Drosophila melanogaster: one gene and its partners. The protein of the gene in region 2 interacts with the protein of the main gene of each other region in a pairwise test. Each region holds a gene or a part of one and is shown on either strand. Other genes may lie near its edges.

The links. The genes of interacting proteins can lie anywhere in the genome.
Region 1: the proteins of CG32365 (region 2) and CG31482 interact in a two-hybrid assay, tested with the Drosophila melanogaster proteins (one large-scale study listed by BioGRID).
Region 3: the proteins of CG32365 (region 2) and PpN58A interact in a two-hybrid assay, tested with the Drosophila melanogaster proteins (one large-scale study listed by BioGRID).

What each region holds. Positions count from the first base shown.
Region 1 is NT_033777.3:6,599,262-6,603,229, forward strand, and holds CG31482 (uncharacterized protein), read left to right. Parts: upstream 1-1,980; 5' UTR 1,981-2,048; coding exon 2,049-2,090; intron 2,091-2,148; coding exon 2,149-2,277; intron 2,278-2,334; coding exon 2,335-2,651; intron 2,652-2,704; coding exon 2,705-2,804; 3' UTR 2,805-2,940; downstream 2,941-3,968.
Region 2 is NT_037436.4:7,866,428-7,872,352, reverse strand, and holds the start of CG32365 (uncharacterized protein), read right to left. Parts: upstream 3,312-5,925; 5' UTR 3,250-3,311; exon of another isoform or gene 2,771-3,249; 5' UTR 2,762-2,770; coding exon 2,300-2,761; intron 1-2,299.
Region 3 is NT_033778.4:21,880,324-21,884,542, reverse strand, and holds PpN58A (protein phosphatase N at 58A), read left to right. Parts: upstream 1-2,009; 5' UTR 2,010-2,094; coding exon 2,095-3,069; 3' UTR 3,070-3,191; downstream 3,192-4,219.

The DNA.
Region 1 (3,968 bases), on a different chromosome or scaffold from region 2:
GCACACGAAAAATAACAAGCTGCGTTGGTCAATTCATCGAATGTCGGTCAGGGCTGCCGCCAGGGAGAAATGGATTGGGCAATGGGCACTGGGCAATGGGAAGCAGGAGCCCGGAGGTGGGTAAGACCACCTGGGCGGAGGTCCATGCAGGGGGCGACATAAAAGTTTCACACCCAGCCATTTGGCCATCAGTGTCCAACAGAGCCGTTGGGCCGGAGTTGCTGTGTTTGAATTAAAAGAAATTAGTTTAGTTATGCCAATGCTCCCCGGGCTACGCTATTGAGTTATCGGCCAGGCAGGAGTGGGACAACTTGGTGCCGGTGACAGGAGGCAACTCGGATGGATAAATTGCAAGTTTTCCCTTACAATTTTGAGTGTGTGCTGCTTGTCCTTGCGTGCCTGGAATTTCAGAAAAAATAAACGCTTTGCGTGTTGCTCTTCTGATGTCGTTTAACCATTATGTGGCATGAATTTGCCATTTTCATTTAAATGCTGCTCTTGGCAGCGAGTCAACTCGTTGGCTTTTTAGCGACTGTTCTGCATTCATAAGCAGCAATCGTATATATCCTGCGGAATGTACTGAAATTGTTGTTGGATTTAGGTCTAAATGTATACAAAACTAGTATTCTTATTTGTTAAGCCCTGAATAAATTTAATTTTTAAATTGCATAAATTGCAGTGCAGTGAAATCATCTGTAATACCCATAGTACCAAAAACCTTATTTTTGTGAATGATTTTGTGTTGCGTACAAAACCTAGATTTCACGCTGATCATTTCCATTCCTAAGTTTTGAAAACAGCAGAGGTGCCATCACCAGTGACGAACCAGATTATGCTCATGCTGGTGCCATCGAAATTGATAGTGGAAATATGTGTGCTGAATGGGATATTTAAGCGCGCCTATCAAACACGCGCACAATAAATCTTCGTCACGGGCCCAAATTGACATTTTACAGCCAAAAACCAGAAACCAAAGCCACGCAGAGGACAAAGTAAGTTCCACTAGTCCGTGTTCCAGCTGCTTTTTTGCTCCTGCGGCTGCCGCTGTTTCGAAAGCCACTGATATTGTTGTCAACGATGATGGCCCAAGGCATCAGCCACATGTGTGGGAGCCAGAGCTCGTCCCTCCTCAAAGTGCCCTCGCACATGGTTGGCAAAGCCAAACCTTTATTGCCACAGCTCCATGGAGCAACAGCGAAAATTTAATATCTGGCTGGGGCGTGGCTCCATTGGAGCTGGTCCGTTGTTGCTGGCGATCAGAACTCATCGCATTATCCTTTGGCCTGGTGGCGGTTACTCGCTCAAAATAATTGCACACTGCACCCCCAATAAGTCTGTTCGCCCGTTTGATACAGAGAAATTTCTATTCGCATTTCCCAAACAAAAGTGGTGTACAAAAATAAAACTGCATATAAGTTTTAAAACATACGCCATACAAAATATATTAAAAAATGTCCGAAAAAATATTGTGCTTTTCCTCGTTCTGGTTTTCAGTGTCTCTGTGAAGTCATCTGTCAGTACCCTAATGCAAAAAGCATGAAACCTCAGGCCAGCTGTCAACACAACAAGCAAATTGCCGCGGAAGCATCAGTTTTGAGGCAACTAGACTTTTTTGATATGGAAAAACCCCTATCAGTAAGAGTCACTAGAACTATAGGTTTATTTTTAAAAATAATCAGCTCCTTTAACACAAAGTTAGACTTCTAAGTAGACAAACAAAATTTAACCCTCGTCTAATTTGTGTTTCTTTTGAGATTGGTTTTGATACTCAGCTTTCCATGCATTATGTCCGAATCTAAAGTCAACTTCATATTTTAGTAGATTTTTGGAACGATACTCATGTACAAATGATACAAACTGCATGAGAAGTGCACGGACTAAAAACTGTATTAATTAAGGGATCCTCCATACGCTTTATAGGTACACCAAACTAATTACAATTTAAGTAACTTTTAAATTACGTCACCAGAATTTCGAGGTCTTTAAAGCAATCAGAATCCTAGATAAGTTTGTCAAAGTTTTCGTGCTATAGTTATTCTCAAAAAAACATGTTTTTGGTGAACATATTGATTGTTTTGGCTCTATGTTTGGTATAATTAAATATTTAGTAATTTTAAATGAAATCTGATTTATTCTCCTGTATTCTAGTTGGTGTTGGTTATAGCTGATCTTCAGGAGGACCATCTAAATGAACACAATCGGTTGAGGGAGAAGCATGGAAGTCCGCCTCTGACCTTGGACGATGAACTCACAAAGGGATGCGAAGAATATGCTAAAGTATTTCGTTGGTTAATAACAATGTTACCTTTTTACACTTTTAATACCCTCGAACAGGTGCTAGCCAATAATGAAAAGTTAGAGCATTCAAGTTCTGCCGGTCAAAACTATGGTGAAAACTTGTGCATGCGGTCACAAACCCCTCTGCAATGTGTTCAAGACTGGTACGACGAAATCGCGGACTACGACTTTGAAAAGCCACAGTTTGCAATGTCAACGGGTCATTTCACCGCCCTCGTTTGGAAGAATGCGAAAAAAATGGGTATTGGGCAAGCCAAGGACAAAAAGGGTTACTACTGGGTGGTAGCAAGATATTATCCACCAGTCAATGTGAACGGGCAGTTCGAAGAAAATGTTCTTCCGCCGATCAAAGGGTAAGCAAATTAATTACATCTGTAGTTTTTTCTTTCATTTTATTTCATTGCAGGGAAGGTGATGAAAATGGTCAAGGCAATTTGAATAGATTTCAAGTTGACAATATTCCCATCATAGTCATGCTTTGGTTATGCTGGCAATTCACAAATTGAGGGTCATTATCACTTTGAAGTTTTTGTGCCGCAGTTCTTGTAAATTTGTAGTTAAGCAATTTGAAAAACCAATTACTGATATTTGAAACTACTCTGTACCCAATAATAAATTTCACTTTTTGGAAGTTTGGTGAATATGCCATTGTTAGTTATGTAAAACCATTCTATCTAGTTGCTTGCAACTTGTAGTTCACCAGGAAGATATTAAAACAGCACACGATATTTAATGATCGAAACTGGGGAGTGCTGCCTTAACACTGGGGTGTTTGGCATTTACAAAAACTATTTAAATGCATGAAATATTTTGAATTAAAAAAAAGAGAGAATGTTATAGTCGAGTTCCCCGACTATCTAATACCCGTTACTCAGCTGCTGGCAGTGAGAACGTGATATTTCATAATTTTCTGGCATATCGATAGATATTGGAGAATTTAATGGGAAGGCGTGGCTGCATGGATGAACAAACTTGTGCTTTAGAATCTGTATGCTTTATCTTAACCTTATAGCTTATATAATTCCTGAAATTTCGACGGTCATACGAACGACCAGACAGACGGACATGATCCTGATCAAGAATAAATATACTTTATACGGTCAGAAACTCTTCCTTCTACATACTTCCTTGACATACTTTTTAACGAATCTAGTGTATTCTACTTAATTCTACGAGTAACGGGTATAAAATGTGTTAAAATTTATATTATTTGAAACAGCTATTACTACAGCTATAGAAATCCAATCTAAGACGACACAGCACTGGTGGGCGTGTGAGTATGTTGGGTTAATTTGAATTCGTGCGATAGGGATATTCAGTTTTTTTTTTTCACTAGGCGCGGGTTGTTCTGGCCTTTTTCTTTCCGCATTTATTTTTATCTTTTTTGGCAATCAGCATCAGCCGAAAGGAATTCCCCATTGACTATGCCGGTGTCAACAAAGTGGCGGAAAAGAATTAGGTATACTGTCTCGGTTGGCTGTTTATACCCTTCTACTATCTCAATCCTTAACAAGTTTTAGATGGCTTAATATATTTATAAAATTATATAAATTGTAATCATTTTTATGAATTATATCACATTACTTTACCACTAAGTCAAAATGGGTGACTTATGCACCTTTTGGGGTGGTACCTACCACGTACTGGGTATCTATAAGTCGGTGCAATCA
Region 2 (5,925 bases):
CAATCGAAAGTGAAAACCCGATGCAATGAACTCTCATCCGCGGGAGGATGAAACTGTGAAGCATGCAACTCCTACGCCACAAGTTGCAAGTAGGGAAAGCAGCAACAGCAGCAGCAGCAACAGCAGCAGCTGCGTTAGAAAAATTCAAATAATGCGACAACGGAGCCATTCAAGTGTGGCCAAGAGGCCGCAAGCAGCTAACAACGAAACCGGCAACGATATCAAGTGACAATCATAAAGAAAAAGGAAAATATATATGTATGCATATATAAAATAAAAATAACAAGCTTTTGTTGCCACTTTTTCTCATTACGCTTTATCGGCAGCTATTAAAGCCGCAAAATCTTGGCGACATTTCGTAATGAGGCTTGGGAATGGGGCAATGGGTGGGCTTTGGGGAGGGGGGGGGGGGGCATATCCGATTGCCAGTAGTTTTGCATGCCCAAGACAAAAGGCCATCAACTTGTTGAAAGTCTGTTGCTATGACTGTCGATTTCAAACCGAAAATCGGATATTAAGTCCACCCGTTTTGGCCTGGGAAATCGCCAAACCAAAACCCGATCATTGAATTGTAGCTTGACCTTTGCACACAGTCGCTTTTTCGAACGCCCTACCGAATGAACGCTTTAGGCCCGAAATAACAAAAATATGGAGGGGGGCTGAAACAACACACGGTAATTCTTTGGCTAATTATTGTTTAGGCCAAGACCTTGCTGGCATTTTCTTTAAACAAAAGTTTTGCTTTCGATGTTTACGCTTGAGTTTTCAGCGGAATCGGTGGGTGATTATGGCATATTTGCTAGAGAACGAATTAAGGAAATATTGTGATTGTTCGATAAGGTCAAAGGGTGTGGGTGCCGGCGAGGGGTGGTGGGGTGTGTGATGACGGCACAGGCCTTCAAATTAAAGGAAATGAAAATTGGAGGTGGAAACATCGGATTTTATGGCAGAGGAAATATAAAGAATTCGTTGCAATAACTTGGGAAATGTTTTAAACAGTTAAACGAAACATGGGGAAGAAAGTTATTAGCAAAAAAAATTATTTGTATCTATGTTTCTAATCTAATAACGCAGAAAAATGATATTGATGTAAAATATATGTAATTTCTGAAATATTACACTACCTTCAAATATCAATATCTTGTTTAAGTATTGGAACTGATATTTATTCAATTATTCATGTTTGACATTTATATTGCTCATTTAATTGAAAGAATTTATTTATAAATTATAAATTTATTTATAAATTTATTTATATTTATTTATAAATTTATATTTTCAATAAATCGAATGAATTATTAGCATTTATTGAAGTTCCCGCAATATTTAAATTACGCTCCATTAATTTATGATGTGTAAGCCACTGTAAATCCTATTATTACATTTTTGTTAGCTTAATTGAGAACTAAATTTGATGAAAATTTTCAAGAACATTTTTATTTACAGCTTACTACCCATTTTTTTTTTTTGTGCTAAGTTACCCCGATGCAACTTTCAATTCCACTTGATGTTTGCTGGCAAATTCATTGAGACACTTAATAAATGTTACATATACGCCTTTCAACCACTTTAGACCCCCAACTATGCCCCCTTATCACCCTTATCAATGCCAAGTGAAGTTTACTCTCCAATTTCGACCCACACACGACACTTTTCGCACATAAATCAAGTTGACCTTAAAAAAATCAGTGAAACAAAAACTTTGTCATATCATGGCCAGCAACAACAACAATAATAACAACAACAACTGCAAGACGCCAAAGGAGGCGAGGATTTTTGTGGGCAGAAGAGGGGGTAGTGGGGTTGTTAAGGGGAGGCTGTCAAGGCTACGTGACAAACAACAAGGTGACATAAATATCCAGTTGCTCCAAAAAGGAAACTGAACTTTTTTCTTTAATGCCAAGGCAACATAGCAAAGTTTAAGGGAGCCGGGGGATGTGGGGCAGAGTGAGAGGGGAGACGGAGACGCGTTCCAAGCAAAGAAAGCATAAAGTGATACAGTGGGCACTCGCGTAACAGAACTTCAGGGAATTCCAAGTCAAAGAAAAGTGAACTTGAATTCAGAAAAAGTTGTTAATTAAATATGTACATAGTATTAACTGTTTTTAATATTGTTTGTAAATAATTTTAACAAAATATTTGAAAATCACGTTGTTTCTATAAATTTCCCTTAACGCATATACATATGTACTTAATTTTTTTTGTAGCCCAAGCATTTCCTCATAACGTTAAATGTTGGCATTACTGCGGAATTTAAATTCCGAGAATTCTCGTTTGGCGCAAAGATTACTGTACTAACCTGCTGCTGTGTTGGCTGATGTGTCGGTTGCATTGGCCAGACGAGATTGAGATTCCTGGCGGATTGTGCCGGTGGTTGTGGATGCTGAGGGGGATGGGGCGGCTGGGCGGTGAGCAGCTGATTAGAGGCGCCAAAGTGTATCATGTTGGCGGTGTGACGTCGTGCTGGCAGAGCGGGGGGCGGGGTGGCGCAGGGGGAATCCTGTTCGTTGTCTCTCTCTAGCGATTCCTGATTCTCCAGCTGCTGCTGTTGTTGTTGTTGTTGTAGTTTGGCCTCGTTTGTTGGCGGCTTCTTGGGCAATGTCAAGGCATTGTTGTTGTTGTTGTTGTTGTTGTTGTTGTTGTTGTTGTTGTTGTTGAGCGAAAGCGAACGCGCAAAAGAACTTTTGAAATAGCGACACGGCATCTGGAAATCAAAGTCAAGATCCGTTGTCTGCTGCATGTTTGTTGTGGTTTTGTGCATTTCTATTGGCTAAAACGGGATTTCTTTATTTATATATTTGAATTTTCCCTTGTGCTGCCTCTTTCTCTGCTATTTTTTTTTGTTGGTCTCTTTTAAATTGGCATTGTTGATGTTTTCCTCTTTAGCGGTATTTCCCTTTGGATTATTGCATTTTTTCACGCACCCATAAGTTCACTTTCACACACTCACGCACAAATCAATTAGTTTTTGACACTCGAAGGATTTTTTTCAATACAATTTAATAGAAATTCAATGGAAATCAATTTCTGGGATTTATTCGCGCGCGCATAACACAAACAAAATTCATAAAGCCGCAGCTAGTTTTCGTTTGCGCCCGAATTGATGAGTTTTACTGTACTAAAATCCAGAAAAATTGGGAAATATTGATTCGTTGAAATGTTGTTGGGTTTGAATTTTAGTGCGAACTGTTGTTATTAAATGTTCAAGAATAATGTTCTACTAATAAATAGCTTGTTTTTCAACTTTACAACAGTTTGCTGCTTCTCGTAATTCACGCGACTTTTCCCGGCCGAGGTGGAAACCTAACTGGAAGACCAACTGTATGTTACCGCCAAATTCGCAGACAGTTTGTGCTTGGGTCACCCTGCTTGGGTTATTATTTCGATCTCCAATGTTAATGTTAATGTTATTAACAGTAAGCTCGTTCTCTCTGAAATAAATGAATGAAGAAGTTACCAAGGCAACCGAATAAAACAGAGTCTGCAAAGAATGTCTTAACAGCTAGCTATTCTCTTAATAACAGTGCAACAACAGTAAAAAAAATATGCTTAAAAGTATGCTAAGCATTTTGTTAAACAATCGTTTTTATGTCATAAGATCAGATCGTGAAACCTAAATTTAACAAATTAAATGAAAGAAACGTCTTGAACGTATACATTTAAGTGATTTTATAGAGACTTTTTTTTTAGCTTATAGCATTTAGTCAATAGCTTAGTTAACTGCACAAGAGTCTATAATAATAAAAGTCTATAAATACATTAAATTCGTTAACATGTTTTCAAATGTAGAAATGTTAATGATTTGGCGCGCCAAGAAATTTGAAAAATGTAGATTGTATTTTACAAGAAAATATGAAAAAGTATATTAAAAAGATAAAGTTTATTTTTGTTCTTCTTTTAGTTAAATAGATTGCATCTTAGTATTCATTATAAATATTATTCCAAATGTCTTAAAATTAATTAGTTTTTATATTTTATCATGAGTAAGAAAAGGGTTTTTTTCCAGTGCAAATTTTGTTCAACGAAACTAATAATATCGGTTGAGAAATGGAAATTGTTTTACCATTCCCCCTTCTAAGGAGGCATTAGCATTCGTTCCTCCGCTGACTAATCCCCGGCCTAATTCCCATACCTTATGTGGTATCTATATTGGGGAGACAGCTTGCCAATCAATTTGATTGCGCTGCGCTGATGTTTGCCCCTGTTTATCTAGCTTAGGGGAAGGATTTTCAAGCTTTTATCATAACAGAAGTGCTTTAATTCCCTTTGATGAACATTTGTACATAACCCCCTTTTGACAAAGAACTCCATAGCTTACTGATTTCGAAAAGCATGACCCAAAACTTAAGGTCATATCATTTTACTAGTAGGAATTTAAGTATTTAAACTAAAATTGGAAGTCATCTAAAACTATTTTTAAATGTAAAAATATTAAATATTTTATGAACCACATTTAATGTGTTTTTATTCATATCAATATATTTAAATAATTTTATAATTTAAATGATTTATGATATTTATTTATTTATAGACGTAAAATATTTGATGGAATCCTTCTGCAACCTGACCCCTAGCTACTAAAATAGAAATACGGCGATTAGTCAGAGTCGTTCGTAGTGGGTACTTAGTATAGATTTCTATTTTTATGGCCCCACGATCCACTGTTGCCATGTGCGCATGCCCCTGCGACTCTCCGTTACATAAGGCTTATATAAGAGGGCCATGCGAGCGAGCGAGATGGACATATGCCGCTTGGCTCTCTCGCTGCTTCTCCGCAACTAGCCCCCTCACGCTCTGGCCCCCTGAATGGCTCCAGTGAAGATAAAGACCACGTGATTACATTCTGCCGGCTGCACCAAAAAGAGAGAGCGAGAGAGCAGAGTGAGAATGAGTACTTGAAGTTGCTCTTATTTTGATTTCCAATTTATGTCCCAATGCTCCCCCGCGCCGCCATCGAAATGATTTAATCTTTTGGAAAATAGTTTCAGTTACGCGTTGTTGCTGCGACCGTGTGTATCGGTAATCGGTTTTCAAACACTTGCAATCGATAGGAGGACACAGAGTGTGCAATGAGCGAGCCCAAGGAGAATATCATGGACTTATCCGTGCGAGGTAAGTGGTAGCGTAGGCACCTGTCCATTGCCCCCTTGCCCCTCTCACCGAATCATCGAAAGCCCCAACAAAGGTAACACGTGCATTGGCGAGAGTGCGAATCGGTTTTGTTTGCTCTGCCTCTCACTCACACTTTGTGCGCGAAAAAGAGAAAGAGCTCAAGAGAGCATTGTGGGGGCGTGTGATAGTAAGCTTTTGCACGGTTTTATTTATTTTTTTGTTTTCTATTTTGCCGTGGTTAAGCCCGCCATGTGACAAATTATTTGATTTTGTCTTCAGATTGCTACAAATTGGTTTCTTTGATTTTCTATTTTTTTTTGCTATTTCCATTTCTATGGTGATTTTTTATTTACCTAGCGGCGGAGCCTTAAGCAAATAGTAGCTTATGTACGCACACGCAAAATTAGAGTGCTTGTATATTGTGTTCGGCCTTCAATAGAAACGTCACGAGGTACAGTGGATCGAGACTAAGAGGTACCTGAATTAGGAGTGGCTAAAGGATTTCGAAGGATTTTTGTAGCATACTTTCACACACTAAATTGGGGGATCTGAAGATAGAGAAGCTGAAACAAACTTTTAATTTTTTTGCTTTAGTCTTAAAATTTATATATTTATAAATACCCAGTGCAGCCGTACTCAATAGCAATGAATAATTCGGAATTTACACAGCATGCCGTCATTAATTAGTACAATCCAGATGCCGCCTAATTGATATATTGTGGACCCCGCCCAGGAAACCCCCAAGCCCAATCAGGTTCCCACCCCTCCGACCACTTAGCCACTCCACCGAACGACTTCCCCGAGATAAACTAG
Region 3 (4,219 bases), on a different chromosome or scaffold from region 2:
AAACCCATTAAGCAAAGCCAACAACAACTACCGCATTCATGTGTGCAGTGATTAACGAGTGAAAGAGAGGGGGAGAGAGGGCAGTAGAAAGAGAGGGGGAGCTGAAGAAAGTAGCAGCAAGCAATTAACAACTACAGCGACAAGCAAAAGGAGTAAGGGAGAAGGAGCTACTGCTGAAACACTGAAAGAAATAAAGTTTTTTTTAAGACAAGAATTAAATAAGTTTTTAAGCTTAATAAGAGATAATTATTACGTCATTTATAAATCTTAATAAAAAAAAGCTAACATTGGCTGCTGATAAGTATAAATTTTCTCAGTGCATTTATGTTTGCGGGGAATACAATATCATCCGCAGAGATAAGAGCAGCAGAAGAGCTAGATGGCAAGTCTGTGCGAGGGAGACAGACAAGTGTAGGGGCGAAATGCATTAGATAAGCAAAACTCAGCTGGAATCCACCGAAAATGAAAGAATGGGTCCAGCTGTGTTTACTACATGAAACAGAAGCCGCTCGTCCAAAAATATTAATCTGTTTTCTCCTTCTACGCTTTCCATCTTTCTCTAAATGCAAAGTGCTGAGATTATAGTTTGTGTGAAACATTTTAATATTTATTGTACTTGCACAACGCAAGAACTCTAATCTCAACGGGTAAATACGCTATCCAAACTGGTATCATTATTATATAAATCTATTTATACATTCATTTGGTTTTATGTATTAAAGAAATGCTTAAGTTGTGTGATAAAATGTAGAAAGTCAAGGCAATGTGCAAAATATTTCTCATCAAAGAACACAAGTTCGTATGTGGACAGAAATGGTCTTGTCAACTTGATGGATCTGGGATGAAGTTCAAAGGAGGGGAGTGGGGGTCGAGGCCCGAGTGCTGGGGGCAGCCTCCCCAACCGCTTTTCCGCAGCGCCCTTTGCGGAATCCGTTACTAATCACACGACTTACATTTGTAGCCCGCTTCCGACTTTCCCCTCTTCAATTTCCATTCCTCGGTTCAGGGTTGATGCGCTGGCTTGATGTTGATGTTGATGCATTCGCAGAATCTCAGCCTGTCACATGCTCGTAAAATCAACAAAATGCAGGCGACTGTTGTGACACTTGCCATGACAACAGGCAAGAACGGCAGCAACAACACTCCGTGTTGCAGTTAGCAAAATGTGTAATGAGTGGCGAAGAGACGGACATACACTGGCAGAAATATATTATAATATCTTCAACGTTCGAAAAATGTATTTCGAAATTTGACAGAATTATCAAAGAACAAAAATATATGTTTACTTGATCGTACTTAGCAGTTATTAAAAATCATTAGCAATAATATTGATATATATTTATTCACAGTGCATTTGAAGATAGTATACTTGCATCTGCGGTAGGTTTTGGCTTAAGAACTGACTATGGAAAACGGGGGACTAGGGCTTGATCCACCCCAAGATGGGGAGGAGTGTGGGGCTGCTGGTATGGGGGTTGGCCCACCCACTCGAAAATGCGTCGCTCTCTTTCTGCATTCTATGTCTGCTGTCAAAGCCCAAAAACTGAAGTTGCCTTTGTATTTTTCACTTTTTTTTTATATATGCTTTATATATGTATGCATTGTCATGGCCGGAGGGGTGATGGCCAAAAGGGGGTGGGAGGTGACTGGATGATGCTGCCGTCGGGCAAAGTGTCCATTATGTTGATTTGAAAAATAAAAGCAACGGATGCGATTGCTCACACAAAGATGAAGGGCGGACTGACAATTGGCGAGGAGTTAACAGAGGGAAGGGGGGGGGCTTATAAGGCGGGATTTTCCGGGTGGACAGTAAGGGTGGGTGGGGGCGTTTAGCATGGACTGGTGATTCAAATTTAGTTGATTGAATGAAACGACAGTAATGTGGCTTTTAAATGGTTTTAGTCTGATGGGGGATTTACTATGAAATTGAAGAAACAAAAGATTAACAAATAAAATTTAACATTTCCATTTCATCTACCTTGATTTTGCTCTCAAAAATCCTAGGAAAACTAAACCAGCAAACTGCTGCATAAGAAACGAAAGCCCTTCTTACCCCACACATGATTGCGATTCAAAATTCCGTGTGCCGAAAATATGATGAAGAAGTTACTAAGCAACGGCTCGAACAAAAATAAAACTCTTAAGTTCGACGAGGGAATCAATTTGGACCAAATAATTGCAAAGCTAAAACTAATCGGAGAGATAGGATCCGTGGTTCAGATTTCCGTCCGGGAAATCGAAGCGGTTTGTTCTCGGGCCAGGGAAGTACTGCTCAAACAGCCAACTCTGCTGGAGATTCCTGCTCCGATTAATTTACTGGGAGACATACACGGTCAGTACCTAAATCTCTTGCGCTATTTCGAGTCCAATGGCTATCCGCCGGATTCGGTGTATCTGCTACTGGGTGATTATGTGGACAGAGGCAAGCAGTCCATCGAAACATTGACCCTGCTACTGGCCCTCAAGGCAAGGTATCCGACCAAGTTCTACCTACTAAGAGGAAACCACGAGTGCTCCAGTATAAATCACTTCTACGGATTCTACGACGAGTGCAAAAGGCGATACACGGTGAAGTTGTGGCGCACTTTTGTAGATTGCTACAACTGCCTGCCACTGGCGGCGATCATCGAGGAGAATATCTTCTGTTGCCACGGCGGTCTGAGTCCCCATCTGTTTAGCATGCAGCAGATACGGGAAATTCGCCGGCCCATCGAAATACCGGAATCCGGATTGATATGCGATATTCTGTGGTCCGACCCTGATCTGCGGATCATGGGCTGGGGTCCCAACGAAAGGGGCGTGAGCCACACCTTCGGTTCAGATGTGGTCAGTGCCTTCTTGCACCGATTCAAATTGAACCTCATTTGTCGGGGTCACCAGGTGGTCGAGGATGGCTACGAGTTCTTCGCCAAGCGCCAGCTGATCACAATTTTCTCGGCCCCAAACTACTGCGGGGAGTTCGATAATGCTGGGGCCATGATGTGCATCAATCAGGATTTGTTGTGCACCTTTCGAGTTCAGAGGCCAATACTATCGGAGCAGAGGAGACTATCAGATATAAGTGTTTAAAGGTTTAAAGATTCGTCCGTTCGATCATTGTAAAGTAGTTTATTTTTTTAAACCATATTGTAAATTCCATATTCCAGTTAGCGTTATAAGAAGCACAATTAAAATATAAACAGTTGCAATTCAAAATAATACTTTAAAAAACGTTTAAACAATATTAGGCTACAATTTGAAATCACGTGAACACCACAAAGTAGCTGATATTATCATTACATAATTAACTGCACTTTATACGCAATTAATCGAAAAATCCATTAAATTATATCCCATCTCATCAACAATTTCAGCATAAAAAAAACCACACTGATTTCTCCATTTTGTAAAGTCGCGCAAAAAGTAATATATATTAATTTGATAAATAATAATCATTAATTTCCATCTAGTTAAGTCATAAGGGCAATTAAATTATGGCAGAGTTGGCAAAGAATTTTGTACAATTTTCCTCGCCCAGTTCAAAAGCTAATGACTGCCCTCAACGAAAGTGAAAAGCAGCTAAAATAATTACTAAAATGCATTACAACACGCACACTCACACAGTGGGCAATGCAAATTGGCGGGGAAATATGAAAAATAAAAAAGAATAAATGTGGGGAAAGAGAGAAATTAAATGACACAGCAATTTGCAAAGGGAATAAATTAATGGCAATCCATTTCGGAAAATTGGAATGATGCGCAGTGGCCATTAATGCAAATTTCAAGGATAATGAAAGAGAGAAGGGAGCGGTGCTGCGTGACATGACAAGTTCGTGGATTCAATACTTATGTACTTAGGGCACAATAATAAACTATAATTCAAATGCATAAATTTAGCTTTTTCCGATATTTAATTTGAATTTTCTAAGCACCAAGGATGCCCAAAAGTCATACGCTCAGGACGAGCAGGAGTTTCACTTGCAAATATCCTTGCCATGTTGCTGACAAATGACAACACAAGCATATCGATGTCGCAACAGTCAAGAAAAACAAAAACACCAGGGCAAATAAGCAGACATGTGGGGTTGAAAGGACCCAGCCGCATTAACCCCACAATGGATGCAGCATGTCCGAGAAAAAGATGGAGATGCAGAGATATGGATGGGAAGACAGGGACAGGCGTAAGCTGAAATATCCACAAAACTAATCTGAGCGAAAGGGCCAGTGCTAGACGGAGGGA